Lepisosteus oculatus: one gene and its partner. The protein of the gene in region 1 interacts with the protein of each later gene in a pairwise test. Links are inferred from orthologs where the notes say so. Each region holds a gene or a part of one and is shown in the gene's direction. Other genes may lie near its edges.

Evidence for each region. The genes of interacting proteins can lie anywhere in the genome.
Region 2: the proteins of E3 ubiquitin-protein ligase TRIM63 (region 1) and gmeb1 interact in a two-hybrid assay, tested with the Homo sapiens proteins (2 studies listed by BioGRID and IntAct). The link is inferred for Lepisosteus oculatus from reciprocal best matches to the Homo sapiens genes TRIM63 and GMEB1.

The regions. Positions count from the first base shown.
Region 1 is NC_090706.1:9,007,969-9,015,214, forward strand, and holds the start of E3 ubiquitin-protein ligase TRIM63, read left to right. Parts: upstream 1-4,224; 5' UTR 4,225-4,399; coding exon 4,400-4,558; intron 4,559-6,842; coding exon 6,843-7,009; intron 7,010-7,246. UniProt on the Homo sapiens protein: E3 ubiquitin ligase. Mediates the ubiquitination and subsequent proteasomal degradation of CKM, GMEB1 and HIBADH.
Region 2 is NC_090706.1:5,832,326-5,839,751, forward strand, and holds the start of gmeb1 (glucocorticoid modulatory element-binding protein 1), read left to right. Parts: upstream 1-4,425; 5' UTR 4,426-4,510; coding exon 4,511-4,629; intron 4,630-4,748; exon of another isoform or gene 4,749-4,821; intron 4,822-4,993; exon of another isoform or gene 4,994-6,076; intron 6,077-7,163; coding exon 7,164-7,316; intron 7,317-7,426. Other genes in the region: discoidin, CUB and LCCL domain-containing protein 1, read right to left, coding at 2,095-2,194. UniProt on the Homo sapiens protein: Trans-acting factor that binds to glucocorticoid modulatory elements (GME) present in the TAT (tyrosine aminotransferase) promoter and increases sensitivity to low concentrations of glucocorticoids. Also binds to the transferrin receptor promoter.

The DNA.
Region 1 (7,246 bases):
TTGTTTCATCATGCTTCCCCTGAGGTTTATTCTCCTATAAAATCTACTGTTGTGTTATTCTATTCTTTGCTTTTTGATGAATGAAAAAAATCATTTTCCCGTTAACATCAAGAGGTCACAGTGGTACAGACTATAGAGCAAAGCTTCAGATCCACACCAAAGCTTCAGACTGGTTGCAGCCTGCAGTGCAGTGTGACATGGTGTCGGCTTTTAGCTGTGACTCAGTCTCAGTGGCCACGTCAAAAATCTGGAAATAGTAATAATAGGATTTTTTATGCAAAGAATGTCAAGTTGAGAGTATAGAAGCACAATACCGCTATTAAAAACAAACTGGAAAAGAGGTGTGCGCCCATCAGGACTACAGTAAATAACAGACCTTCTGTTGGAAGAGTACCAGCCACAGGTGTACCAGATGTATGTTTTTTATTTAGAATTCTGGACAGCTGATAAAAAAAAAATATTTTGTAATTTCTCCTTTATCTTGCATGGATCTCAGGTCTGAAAAATGTGTCAACCGTGATATGATATTTCTTGTAATAAATGTTATGTAAAGTCTTTTGTAAAAAAAACAAATGGCTGCTCTCTAAGAAAAATTGTTCCAGCGGGGAACGAAGCATTGAATTTTCATGAACTACATATGTCCTCTGTACTTTACAACAGCCTACGTTGCACAAAAGCCCGGGTAGGCAAAAGGTGCTATTACATGTATGTATATACTGCCATTTCCTGTGTTTAATAAAGTACTTTTATGCTCATGTTATGAGAGTGGGTTTGCATTTTAATGATATTTGAACTGGTGATCTGGCATCCCTCTGTTTCAGCACGTGAATGATACACAGTAATACAACTGAAGCTCCTTGGGCCCATAACATCAATAGACAACGTTACCAGTATTTAGCTTGATATCTCCTCACATCAGAAGCTTAGCAAGGTTGGGTCTTGTCAGTACTCAGATGGAAGACCTGCAAGGAAGAAGTTGCAGCTATAAGTGGTGGTGGTGTACCAGTATGCAACATGCTTCCCTCTGAACCAATGCTCTAGTATGGTGACAGGTCACACAAGAGGAACAGTCTTTTGGATGAGGCGTTAAAGGTACCTGTACTGACTACAAGGTCATGCCACTGTTCATAGGTGTAGATGTGTTTAACAAATGTCCTAGCTAAATTCCACTCAAGAAAGTGAGTTTCTGTTGCTTTATAATAAACTAACAGGGGGATTGATGTTTTTTGCTCTAAAAGAACTCTAAATCCTAACATACTGAACATATGATGATACCAGATAGACCAGAGGCAATATGTGTAAAATATTATGTTTTTTTTTTTAAATGTAGCTTTGGAAGTTTAAATAAACTCAAATAGGGAGAGAAACACATTTTGCACTGGAATAAAATGTTTTGAAAGTTTTCCTGTTAATGTTTTACCATTTTAAAAAGGCGATTGATAGAACACCTAGTATTTATTCTACCACCAACTGTATATGTGCATAGAAAGTTTTTGTAGTTTGCTTGTTGTTCTTTCACTGTATTACAACTGAAAGTTCCATTTTATATTTTCTGTGCTATGACAGTAAAATTCAATACTCATGACACTGCCAACCTGTTATTCTTGTTATGAGTTTACAGTCTGTGGGAGGGCCAGAAATAGCTTAGCCTGGCTGACACTATGGGCAGGAAATTGAGCCAAAGGTCTCGAGACTGCATGAGCAGACTTGTACAGTAAGTAACAATCGGCTTCGGATGCATATGCTGTGACCCCCTTTTCATACAGGCAGAACTGCTTTTATTATCTCCTCTTCCCTAGAAACCACTGTCTCTGCTGTATTTTGATACAAAATAGAATCGTCTGACTTGTTTGTCTTAGTCATGCTGATCAACAGTTTTGTGCACTAGAGTAACTCCATCCTGTTATTTTAGCTCAATATGTTCAGATGTCCCACTTAGCAGTGGTTGGCATTACGGCCTCACGGTGCTGGGGCTTGATCTGGAGTGCTTTCTGTGTGGAGTTTGCATGTTCACCATGTGTTCTCCCTATGTTTCTGTGGGTTTCCTCTGGGTGCTCTGATTTCCACCCAGTCCAAAAACATACTGGTTGAGTAACTGGCTCTAAGGAAAATTGGTCCTGGCGTGAATGTGTGTGGGTGTTTGTGTCTATGTGTGCCCTGCAAGGGACTGGCATCCCATTCAGGGTGTATCCTGCCTTGCACCAGTTGCTTGGCGTGACAGGCACTAGCTCCGTTGCGACCCTGAATTGGATGAAGAGGTTTGAAGATGGATGGGACTGATGAATTTCTGACTAGTGAGAAAATTGGTTGTGATGTGTATCCTGACTTGCATCTTTTGCTTTGCTAGGATAGACCATAACTCTATTCACCTAACCCTACTCTGTCCTGAAATGCCAGCGTTTTTTTATCTGAAAATTTACCTAAAGAAGATACGGTAAATTTCCAAGCGCGTTTTTCAGTGGTTTTAATGCTTTTAGACATATATTTATTGATTTGAGTAACATTTTCAAATCTGCAGGATTTGGTTAGGGGTAGCATTCCCACAGAACTTACACATATTTTACGATCACCGCTGGATTTGGGGGCTTAGGTGAAATTTAGGACGACTGATAATTTGATCCTATCTTCAAAGATTTTTGCCTGCTCATATTGTTTATTACAGTGTTCGGTATCTATTCCAAAAGTGAGTCAAATATAAAGTTGTAAGAAAACATTTTGTTGTTTAAAATGCAACTAAAATTATAACTCCAGTCAATATTAAATAGTTCTTGTAACCCTAACCCTACTCTGGCTTAAAATGCACAATTGTTTAAATACTATTGTAATAGCGTTTTTCAGCTGATTGAAAATTTGCCTAAAGAAGATACAGTCTTCAAGAAGAAACATTTCCACAAGCTTTTTTCTGTGGTTTTGATTATTTTTTCTAATATTAATTGGTTTGAGGAACATTTTCCAATCTGTTGATTTGAGGGCTTCAGAGACAGATTACAGAATTGCTAACTCGGACCCTGGCTAGGGTTAGGGTTAGCATTCGTACACTACATACACATTTTTTATGCTCAGTGCTGATAATTTGCTCTTCTTTTTTTGGAGAGTTTTGGCTACTCATGTTGTACAGTGTTCAGTAAGTGTATTGCAATGGTGACCCAGATCAAAAGTTGTAAAAAAACTTGTTCTACTGTTTAAACTCTCTTAATTTTGTCAAAGTGCAAATAAATGTTTAACTGCTGTCAACTTTTAAGGGGTTCTTGTTACCCTAACCCTAATCTAGCCTGAAATGCACAATCATCTTGAAGACCATTTTTAGTGTTTCACAGCTGATTGAAAAATGTGTCTAAAGGAGTCTTAAAGATGATAAATTTCCAAGAGCTTTTTTCAGTAGTTTTGATTTTTTCCTCATATCTGTTGGTTTCTGAAACATTTTAAAATCTGATAATTTGAGGGCTTTAGAGACAGATTGCAGATTTGCTCATTCTAAACCCTGGCTTGGGTTAGGGATAGGGCAGGAAAAGTGTTGTTTCTCTATTTGTTTCACAGATTAATTTGGCCCAGTTTTAATTTTGCCCCCTTTTGTCAACTGTTGATTAAGACTTTTGAGAATTAGATCATTTCAATTCAAGATTATACAGTGTTGGTTGTTTTCAGCCTGCATATTCTCGAGATTCAAGTAAGTGTAACTGTTTTTTATTGGGTGTCCAACCCAGACAAAGCAAACAGGAATGCATGTGCAAATGAGGAGTTGTATTTGGCTTTATAGAAGACCTGTTGTATGCAACTACTTGACAAGGCCTTCATGTCAAGAGTGACACATTCTCACAGTGGATGGTGCACATATTCTATTGTAAATGTTTCTACATTAAAGAAGAAACAATCTTGTACCATATTCATAGGTTCACAAAAGTATTGGTAAGATATTGTTAATAAATGCAAACTAACATGATTTACTCAGAATAAGCAATAAATACAAAACAAAACAGTAGGAGCTTTCTTCGAGACCCTGTAGAATCATTAAGAACATACTGTACACAGCAGTGTGTGAAATAAGCCAACTACAGGGAAAATGACCAGATTTATTGTAATCTATCCCTTTAAGGGGTTCTACGAGAGATATCCTGCAGAGGCATTCCTCAGGGCAGCATGTGATAAGGACAGGCAGAGAGCTGATTTTTCTAGGCTAGCTATCAGACCCCAGGAATGCACAGGAGCAGGGCTGGGATCAAGTGACTCCATCCAGGGGTATAAATAGAGCCTGACGCTGGGTGATAGGCAAAACTCTCCACATGCCTGCAATGATTCGGAAAGACAGAGGAGTTATAACAAAAAGGAGCTTCTTTCTTTTCCCGGAAAAGAGTGTGAATAAAGGCCAAGAAGCTGTTTAAACAACTATAAATCTAAGGACATGGATTTCCAATCGAGCATCATCCAGGAGTCCAACAGGATGGAGAACCTGGAGAAGCAGTTGATCTGCCCCATTTGCCTGGAGATCTTCTCCAAGCCTGTGGTCATTCTGCCTTGCCAACACAACCTGTGTCGAAAATGTGCCAATGATGTGTTTCAGGTGAGCTATGTACCTCAGTGCTTGGAGACCAGAATTTCAGTCTTTGCAGTAAGAATGTAGAGAAACATCAATTTCTAGTCACTTATTTTTATTTACTCATGCTGTTGCTCAAACTTTCTGCTACCTAGCTATGCATCTATCCTGTGAAAATTATTTGTCAGGAAAAGGTGATTTAAATACTGAAATCAGAACCCAGTGTAATTCCATGCAATGGTTTAATCTATTATTTCTAACATTAAGGACACACTTTAATTTAGCTCTTAAGGAATCTTTTTCATGCAGAAGAAGACGAGTCAAAGTTTCAATTACTGGCTTGGGTAGTTCGTTCTATTTGTCCAAAGGCTGTCTGCAAAAACTGGACAATGCAAGAAGCAGATTTTTTTATGTGGTCATTTGTAAGATTGGCAATGCGGGTCATAGCCACCAAAATAGAACCAGAATTCTCATGCAAAGTAATTCCAGGATTGCCTTAGAGAAAGATAGTCTAGCCTTTGGCTTGCCAAACGTGTTACCATTCACGCTGAACAGAACGCAAAGGTTGTCTTAGGATACAGTGTGCTTTGTTTCTGTAGTCTTTCAGCTAGAATAATAAAATGACTGATGTCCTGGAATGAGCCATTCACCTTATCCATGGAAGGACAAGAGACTAGGTGGAGAGAACAAAAGCTGTTAAAGCAGGTCATCAAGGACTACATGGGTCTATTTCTGTGGTGTGTTGAAATGTCTGTTTGATTTAATATTGTATCTTTTCCATGAATAGTTCTATTTGAGAAAAAGTTTAAGATTTTAATTGAGGGTATGATATAAGCAACAGAAGACATATTGGAGCTGATTTATAGCTAATATTCATGTAAGATCTTGCATGTAAAAATGCAATGCTGTTATGTCGCAGGCACTCCAATCAGTTGAAATACACATTGTTCCCACAATTGTTGTTTTAAAATCAGTCTCATCTTCTCCCCTTAAGATGCTTGTGTAAACCTGACCATGTAAAACAAGCTGGCTTTCAATTTGAAATCCACACTTATATGATTTATATTCAGCATCTCGGTTTTTTAGTCCAGTTCATAGTGACATGACAAATGCAAAGGATTACAGAGTTATACCATAAATCAAACATAGGTTTTCCTTTTGATGTTTTAAAGACCTAAACAGCATAATCAGTTAAGCTCTCATTATAACAGATAGTTACTGTACAGTTTTTGGGAAAAGGTTGCAAAGATAGTAAGATTAGTATAAGCTATCAAAGGTAGTATCTAGCTAGTATTAGCTATAAATAAGGATAATTAAATAAGTATTAGCTATAAATAAGCTATAAATGGCTGTTTATAATGGGAAATACCTTATGATACTGACCAAGGTTTGACTACTACAGTGTCAGTGCTATCAATACTCTAATCAGTATTGCATATAAGACAAAAATAAAAATAATAAACTTCTGTATTCACTAATTTATTTTTTTTATTTGAACATACTCTACAGTTAGAGTTAGATTTGAATTTAGAATGTTTTGTTCATTCATAAAGAGATCTTGAAAGGTGGTATATAAAAACAGATTATGGCAGAATGACTGACTTTCCCAGTGTTTTTCTGGGCTTGTGGTCACATTAACCCCAAGCATTTCTATTAACCCAAAAATAGAACGCTGGTATGGTTACAGTAAGCTTGTAAACACTTGCTGTTTGCTGCAGATGGAGGGAGTAGATCACTTTGCTGGCTGTAGCCACTGTAGCAATTGACTCCCACTGGGAGGAGTGGTGACAGTACCAAGCCCTGAGAAGAGCTCCTTGTACACAGCTGACTTAAAGTGGGGTAGCACATTGACAGACGAGCATAGCGCAAGGCGCCTATTAAAATTGCTGTGCCTATTAAAATTCAGTGTTAACCTGCTTTGTGTCTCTCAGCATCATGACATGATCCATTTTCAGTGTTCATCTACAGCAACCATGGTTGTAACTCAGAGCCAGAACCACCAAGTTTATTTTTAATAATGATAATAATGGAATTTTATTTGTGATCCCTTTCCAAGAAACTAGAAGTGTTGTTAATTAACAACAGAGTCCCATTCTTTGTGTAGAAACCAGTGACTGGAGAAACAGAAGGATATTGGGACTGCAGTGCCTTACCATTAGAACGTCCCTTGACATACTGAATATTCTAATGAGACACACCTTGCCTGTGCCTGCCAGCAAGTATCGGCAATGGGACCACTTTGCCTTGACATTTAATGCCCACGAGATGCTCCCCTACTGGCTTGCTGATTCCACATTTTTGGTTGTTCCAGGCTGCAAACCCGTACTGGACGTCCCGTGGTACTAATATTTCGGGAGGCCGTTTCCGGTGTCCATCATGTCGTCACGAGGTGGTCCTGGACCGGCACGGGGTCTACGGGCTGCAGAGGAATCTGCTGGTGGAGAACATCATCGACATCTACAAACAGGAGAGCAGCAGGTCAGAGCAACAGCTGCAGAGAATGGCTTGCCACTGTGCAGTGTGACCACACGCACGGTGTTTACAGTACAGCATGGTAGGACTGATTCTGCTGCTGCAGGACAACATTAACATCTACAAGGAACTGCTAAGTAAGAAGGCGGACACACAACGCAGTCACGGTACAGTACGAAGTACACCTACATGTAGAACAACCAAGAAAAATCCATTTGTGGTGAATATAGCTGACATTCTCAT
Region 2 (7,426 bases), about 3.2 Mb from region 1:
CATCGCAAAATTTTACAAATTCTGAATTAAACACAAACTTGTGAACTCCTGGTCTGGCTACAGGCAAGAGCAAGAATATAATGTGAACTGTATGAATTGCATGAAGCAGCCCTTCCTGCTCACTAGTCACTGTAATGACTAATGTAATGTGATGTACCAGTGAAGAAGTTCAGGTTGTGCACCTGACATTTCACTGCATAAGTGTTCCTAGTGATCTGCACCCAGAGGTAACAAGTGAGTAGCATTTGTCGGCAAAACTGTCTTGAGGTTGAGAGCAATATTGTTATATGGATTAAAAGAGATGTATTCACAAGCCAGCGTGTTTACAGTGTAATAAGTCTGCTTCACCTCACCGGAAGTTTAATCATTCAATACCATTTCTTTTAACAGGCCAAAACAACCAATGAATGTTAAGGTAAAACAACCGATTACTATAAAAGCACCTATATTACAATAAGGTAACTGTCTAATCAAACTTGTTTTTTTTAACATGCGAGCTGACTAATTTTGCTCACATCAAATTTGGCACAACAGATTTTGTGGGTGCACTTAGCACCCAATTCTTTTTGAATGTATTAGTCACACAAGGTCCTATCCATAATTTCTGCGAGATTTTACAGTCAGAGCTCAGCCACAACTGTACTGAAAGCATGAAAATCATTCTTAATTTCTACAACCACTCTCTTGCGTAGTAAAGGAAACGCATCATAAAAATAATAGTTTTAAGGGTTTTCCCCCATAAATTACTTAAGGTGAAAAAATGAAAGGACTACAAATGTTGACGGAATAAAAAAACGAATCCCCAAAAATTATGCAATGCATTATGATGAGGTGTATGAACAATGATCTAATATATACAGAATGCGCGATTCATAATTGCTGCATACAATAGATCGAGTCCTACAAATGCGCCATATATCCAGTTCAACCTATATTAAATATTAGTATTTTTGTTTCGTAATTATAACCTGATATATTTGATTAACATTGCACCGAACGATGTGTTAAGGAGTGAATTGTGCATCACTTCAAATCAATACGCGCGTATCTTTGTCGTTTTTAGAAGATCTTACAAAATCTAGTGATATTCCTTGTCAAAACCAGAGAATTCCAAGCGGCGTGTTGTGAAGCACTAGAATAGTTATTTGGCTACACTCTTGCGCGTCCTACTGCTTTTTCGTTTTGCATTTTTATTTCTTTTTGCAGCTCGTATTCTTAGCAAAACAGCGATACGACATTATATTGCTCTTAGCCCTTGATGGCAGTAACTGTAACTGTTTTGATTGACAAAGCTTTATGTTAATTGGCAATACTAATCAGTTTATGTACTGGTGAAACAATATTCAACTGCTCTGCATCGTCTCCGATGCTCAGAAGAAGTCATTGATATATATTGTTTGTATGAGCCAGGTAGGCCATTACAAATCCCTACAGAATAATTAATAAAGCAATCAATGGGGAAAAAAACAAAAGCGCTAGGAGAACCATTCGCGATCTACAGACATTCTTGGTGGTGAACTGTACTGTACAGTATGTACTGTTGTTCATCCTTTCCAAACTACAATTTAGATTCCTCCCCAGAGTGCACGCAGTGCGGGCAGGTGTATTTGTCCTCACCTCAGCGACGCATGATAATTTACAGCTCAGATAAACACTGTGCTTCTGCAGAATATCAAACTCGTGGTGCTTATTTTACTCCCTTTACTAATTCTCCTGAACAGTGAGAACCGTCTGTAAAATTATTCTCGGACAGCGAAAGGGCTGTTGTCGCTTTGCTATTTTAACACAGTTTTTCTTATTTTTTTGTACTTGGACGCAATGAAAATTGTCTGAACAGTATAGACTACAACAGAAATCATATGTTAGTGTCGAACAAACCCAGTATCCGAGAAGCAGTTATTCATTAACAGTACAGTTTAACTGCACTTCCCACAGAGCTGACCCCGACAGGATAAAACACGGTACTTTCAGGGTTTGAAAGACGCTTCGGGAGAAAGGAAGAAAAATAAATGCCTGGTTTAGTCTTGACCTGTTTGCTGACCATTTGAATGTAAAAATCGAGTGATAGGAACGTCAAAAAAAAAAACGACTTACCTTCTTGCCCGTGAATTCCCTGAGTTTCAACAAATAAAATCAGCAAAAATCCGGTTACAAAATCGACAGTGTCCAAAACGCTTCCAGGTGTCGCATACATGGTGTAGATGAGCTATCTCCAACACCGCGACCCCTGCAAATCAGCCATCAGTTACAGTTTATTCTTTAATACAAGCCAGGTTGCAACTTTACTTGACACAAATCAAACAACCGAGGCGCTGACTACTTTCCATTGGCCGAGCGCGCAGCTAGCGCTCCGGGATTGGCTGGGGACGACGCCAGTCAGGCAGCCCAGTTCCAAGAACCCTTGTCCAAATAAGGTCGAGCCTCTGCGGGAATTTTGCTGTGTTACAAATTATTCCCCCGTTTTTTTTAGTGACATCATGGATAATTAGTCTCCGAGGGATGCGGGGGCAGCATGCGTTTAGAAAACAGTCATTGCTGAGCAGATCCTCAAGCCCCCCTCTCTCCCTCCCTGGACTCTTGAGAACAGTTTGATCAGAAATCTAGACAAACACTTGTTGCTCACTCTGTGAAAATTATCGCTCTTATCCTGCAGTGTAATGTATTGCTTCTCAATGAACTTCACTATCCCGGCTTAGCGGTTGCTTTTCTTTAACATTTTATGGTAGAATCGAGTTTATTGGGTGATTTAACTACATAACACCGTGACTTAATTAACGTAGATACATAATAGAAATATGAACAATTGTGTTTTCTTCTTTTTTCAGCATGGAATAAACCTATTACTTGTTCCTTTACAGCCTACGCATGCTGACGCAGCTACCCAACTGAACTAATACAAATATTATTCCTAAAGCTCGACAGCCTCTTGTACGCTCACATTCCGAAGACCTGCTTTCTTCTGAATTTGAATGCAAATAATATTATTGTTCATCTTCTGTTGCCAGTAGTGAATAACTGCCCTGCTGTACTGTAGATAGGACTGTCTTCTTTCTGTAAATAGCCCACACGCTAGAGCTAAGACCTCTGTGTCAGAGGTCAGACAAGTGCTGTGAGCCGGCCCCTTTATCAATGCGGCTAGCGGATAAAAATTGTCCCTCAAAAGCTGGAATAATGGTTGAAAGTTTGTATAATTTGGACGCATGCAAAATCGATGTGCACCTATAATAGGAGGAATTTTGTTAAACTGATAGCAAAACTAATAATACAATCTTGTCATTCTGGGTCCATACCACTTTTTGTCTGAACAGTTTTGGCCCGTAATAAACTGGCTGAACTTACCAGTTCTAACACTGTAATGATACGAATTAATGACAGGTGTACGCCTCTCACGGATACTCCACGGTTGTAAAATTGAGTGCTCACGGTGTCTTAAATGAGTAAATTACAAATAGTATTACTTCCATTTAATAAATCTGTGTTAAACATTGATGAGGGTGCAACTATTTGTAGTCACAGGAAGGCGTTCTTTGTGTGTAGATTGTTCTGCATGCCTGAATGAACACGGTTCTATCAGGATAAAGTGCTATTGAATATGATTTGACCAGTGCTCAAAAGATTGCTATGCTTAGTGCTTTACTAACGTGTCAGGTCAAACTTTGTTACTGGAAGCACCTCCTGGAAGAAAATGGAAATTGATGCCAAATTTTTTATCCAAGAGCAAAACCCGAGTCCCACTAAAAATTCAATAAAAGCAACAGTGTGAAAAGCATTAAACAGCATTCTAATTGCATGCCTTTAATTCAGCAGACTAGAGAACACCACTGATATACTTTAATGATAAAATATCCTTAAAAACGTACGTGTACTCCTGTTGATGCCTAAACAGCATTCGTTGAAAAAGCCTGACATCTGGCGGAAGGATTGATCATATTTTATTTGAAAACCAGTACATTCACCGTTTTTAATCGGAAAACGATTACTAATCACGACAGAATGCAAAGCTTGACAATAGTGTTCACATATAGTTAAGGTACAAGCAGTCTCGTCTCAGGCAGGATTAAAATGAAATAATCCACAGCGAAACCTCAGAGTTCCGACAGACGGAACTGAGTTGGGCTCATCTCACGCTATATCGAAAGGAAAAAATATCGATTAGGATTAGTATTACTTTACCTGTCTAACTTTACGTAAGAGAGAGATCAATGCTAACTTAATACTTAAAATTGAACGCGAATAACAACAGGCACTGGCAACATATGCGCGGTTGTATAAGATATTGAGTGATCTCCACAGTACGGCTCGTCAGCTGCAAATAAAACGACCGTAATGAATAACTAGCTATTGCATAAAACATAATGACTTGACGCACATTTTCCCAAGGCCATGTGTGCCTGTCTGGCGTTTCGCAAGCCACGATACCTTTGTGGGCATCCAATGTGCTAATGCGGTCTATTTTTGCAAACTTCACGCCCGCCCGAGCCGCCCAGCGCGGCGGCTGTCGGAGGGACAGATGGTGCACAGCCAGGCGCTGCTCCCTGCCTTCGGAGCAGGAAGTGTAGCCGAGCGGCACGGCGCATGCTCAAAGGGCTCTCCTGGAAGCTCCGGGGATGTGTTCGCAGCTGTAAAACGGTAAGAAAAGACACCGAGGGTCGAGTAAACGCGGCCCCGCCGCCTGCAGCGGGGTGCGAGGAGGCGGCTGCGGGGGAAGGGGGCGCCGGGGGAGGGCGGGGAAGGGGGTCTGTGCGGGGGTAATGCCCCGGGAGCGGCGCGGACGGCCGTTTGGAGCGGAGCAACGCCGTCGCCGCGGCGCTTGTTGTTAGTGTACGTGCCGCCGCACCGGGAGACGTCAGTTAGAGGGGGAGCGGAGGGAGAGAGAGAGGGAGAAGAAAGACGGAGGCACGTTGGCGGCCGGGGCCAGACAGGCAGCGCGCCGTGCGTTGTTAACCTTTGTTGGTAGTGTTACATTGTACAGTGTAGCAGGACGAGGGGAGGGATTGTGCTCGTCTGCCTTTCTCGCCCATTTGCTGTGCAACAGGAACAGTCTCTCCCCCACCACCACCTCTCTCTCTCTCTCACATGGGGATCTTGGCGCAGAGGAGGGCAGCGTTGACTAACCCACACGGCCCGGGCGCAGATAAACGCGAGCAATGTCTGGGTTAAAGCAACAAAAAACAAAAAAAGAGAGAGAGAGGAGGTGAGCAGCGAGCAGCGAGCAGCGAGCGCGTCGTTGCACAAAAGACCGGCTGTTTTGGTGCGCTGCGTGGGAGACGTTGCCTGTTTTTCAAAACAAAAAGCAACAAAGTCACGTAATTTGAAAGTAACTGGAGTCCCCTCCCTTTTTTTCGAAAAAACTCGCTGTCGATTTTTGAAATCTGTGCCTTTTATGTTACACGCTGCAATTCGTATTGGCGTAGCCCACGGTTAGCAAGCCCGGTCTTGAATTTAGCAAGTTAGCACGGTGTCTTATGCTGGAGGAGGGATAAGGCATTCCAAGGGAGGATTGGTAGTGTTTAGGAGTTAAGCCAGATTCACACAGCTGTGGTGGGATAATAAATTTCACTTGTATTTTTCCTTTCGTTGATCTTGTCACCTGTTGCCCTCTGAGTCTGGTCTGGCTGGCTGGGCTCAGTTGCTGAACTTGGCAGGAGGTCAAAACGTGTTATGTTGCTTGGAGCGTTCTGCTCTGGACATTTGGCTTTAATAACAACAGAAGTTAAGAGAGTGCTCGCTGGTCACTACAACTATTTTTTTTAATAAACAGAGGCTTCAGCCCATGTATATTGGTCTCCTAATTCCTGTCCCTGCAAAAGAACTGTTATATGTTACGATTCTTTATGTGCTCGACTGGAAAGTGTAAATGGTCAGGGTTTAAAAGAACAGGTTGTAAAGTCTTTTAAAGATCATAAGATCATAAGATATGGCCAGCAGCCATATCACCCTGCAACTCACAGCTGGCAGCCCACTGAAACTCAGCAGTGTGAGCCTGGTCAGTACCTGGATGGGGGACCTCCTGGGAAAAACAGGAAAAACCTGTAAAGCACTTTGAGTGGAGTATCCAGAAAAGCGCTATATAAGCGTAAGCAATTATTATTATTATTATGTTTAATGTAGAAAGACAATGTCTTGGTAAATCGTTTAAAATTAATGAAGTGGAAAAGATGCTATAAGCAGTTCAGTAATGTCTCCATTTATGAAACTGTAATACTGTCTTACATAGTATGCAGGCTACCTGCCTGTTTGAGTTCTTGGAATGCTGTCTTTTTGTGCTTTGATTTGAAAACTAAATTGAAACGAGGCTTTAATAGGGGGAGTAGGGGGAGATAGTGATGCCATTTATGTAATTCATTTGGCTTCTTTGAATATATCACGTTAGCCTATATATATATTAACTGCAGTTGGTAGCTTAATAGATATAATACAAGCATCAATCATAGGGAATTGCAGGGAATACTAGTTAAAAACCTAGAAATTTATAAAATATAAGTCTTTATTACAATACAATATTTTATTTTACAAAAGAGGGTTTGAATGTAACCGACGAAAGGCCCCCAATTTGTCTTGTTTCTGTGAGTAGTGATGAACTCCAGAACAAGAGATGAACTTTTCAGTTCATCTTAGTAGCAGGGAATTTGGTGCACATAAGAGCCAAAAGTAATTTTCTGATAAACTGCTAAGCTGAAAAAGAGCTGTTGCCATGGAGCTTACCGTTCTAGTGTGGAAATTAACAGCACTGAATAAACTTACATTCTAACCTGTTCAGTCACACAACACCCCAGTGTCACCTTTTACATCTGAATCTGACAAACCACCAAAGGAGTACTGTGAATAAATTATTTTGAAATAACTTCTTTTTCTTCTAAGTGTGCTTTCATTTCGAACATGCTGAAGTCTGTTCGTAGTGCACTATGAAGTGTAGTGCACGATTAAGTGTTCTTGGACTACTACAGTAGTCCAGTCTTGAGGAAAAAAGGCCTTGCCCAGTATCTTGGCATCTGACTGGGACAGAATAGGTTGCCGGCGTTGTAATGCTGATCCATTCCCTGCCTTTTGTAGTTCCTTGACGGCATGTAGGCCTGGAACTCTGCACACTGAGCTGCGCCGGTAGGTGCTTGCTGGGGAGATGGGTGGGTTTCACCAAGCGAGTCCTGTCACTGTCCCCGCAGGGCCCTGCGACTCGGCCAGGCAGCCATGGCGAACACGGAGGTGACGGTCTCCATGGGCGACGTGGTGGTGGTGAAGGCGGCAGGAGAGGGGGCAGACCCCGCTGACAGCACCAAGACACAGGTCATCCTGCAGCTGCAGCCCATCCAGCAGGGGTAAGACACAGCGCCCCTCTCCATCCTGGGGACAGGAGGATCGGATCTTGTCCCAGACATCCACTAACAGCACTAACAGTGTTTTCCTTCCATTTTATCGACAATAATGA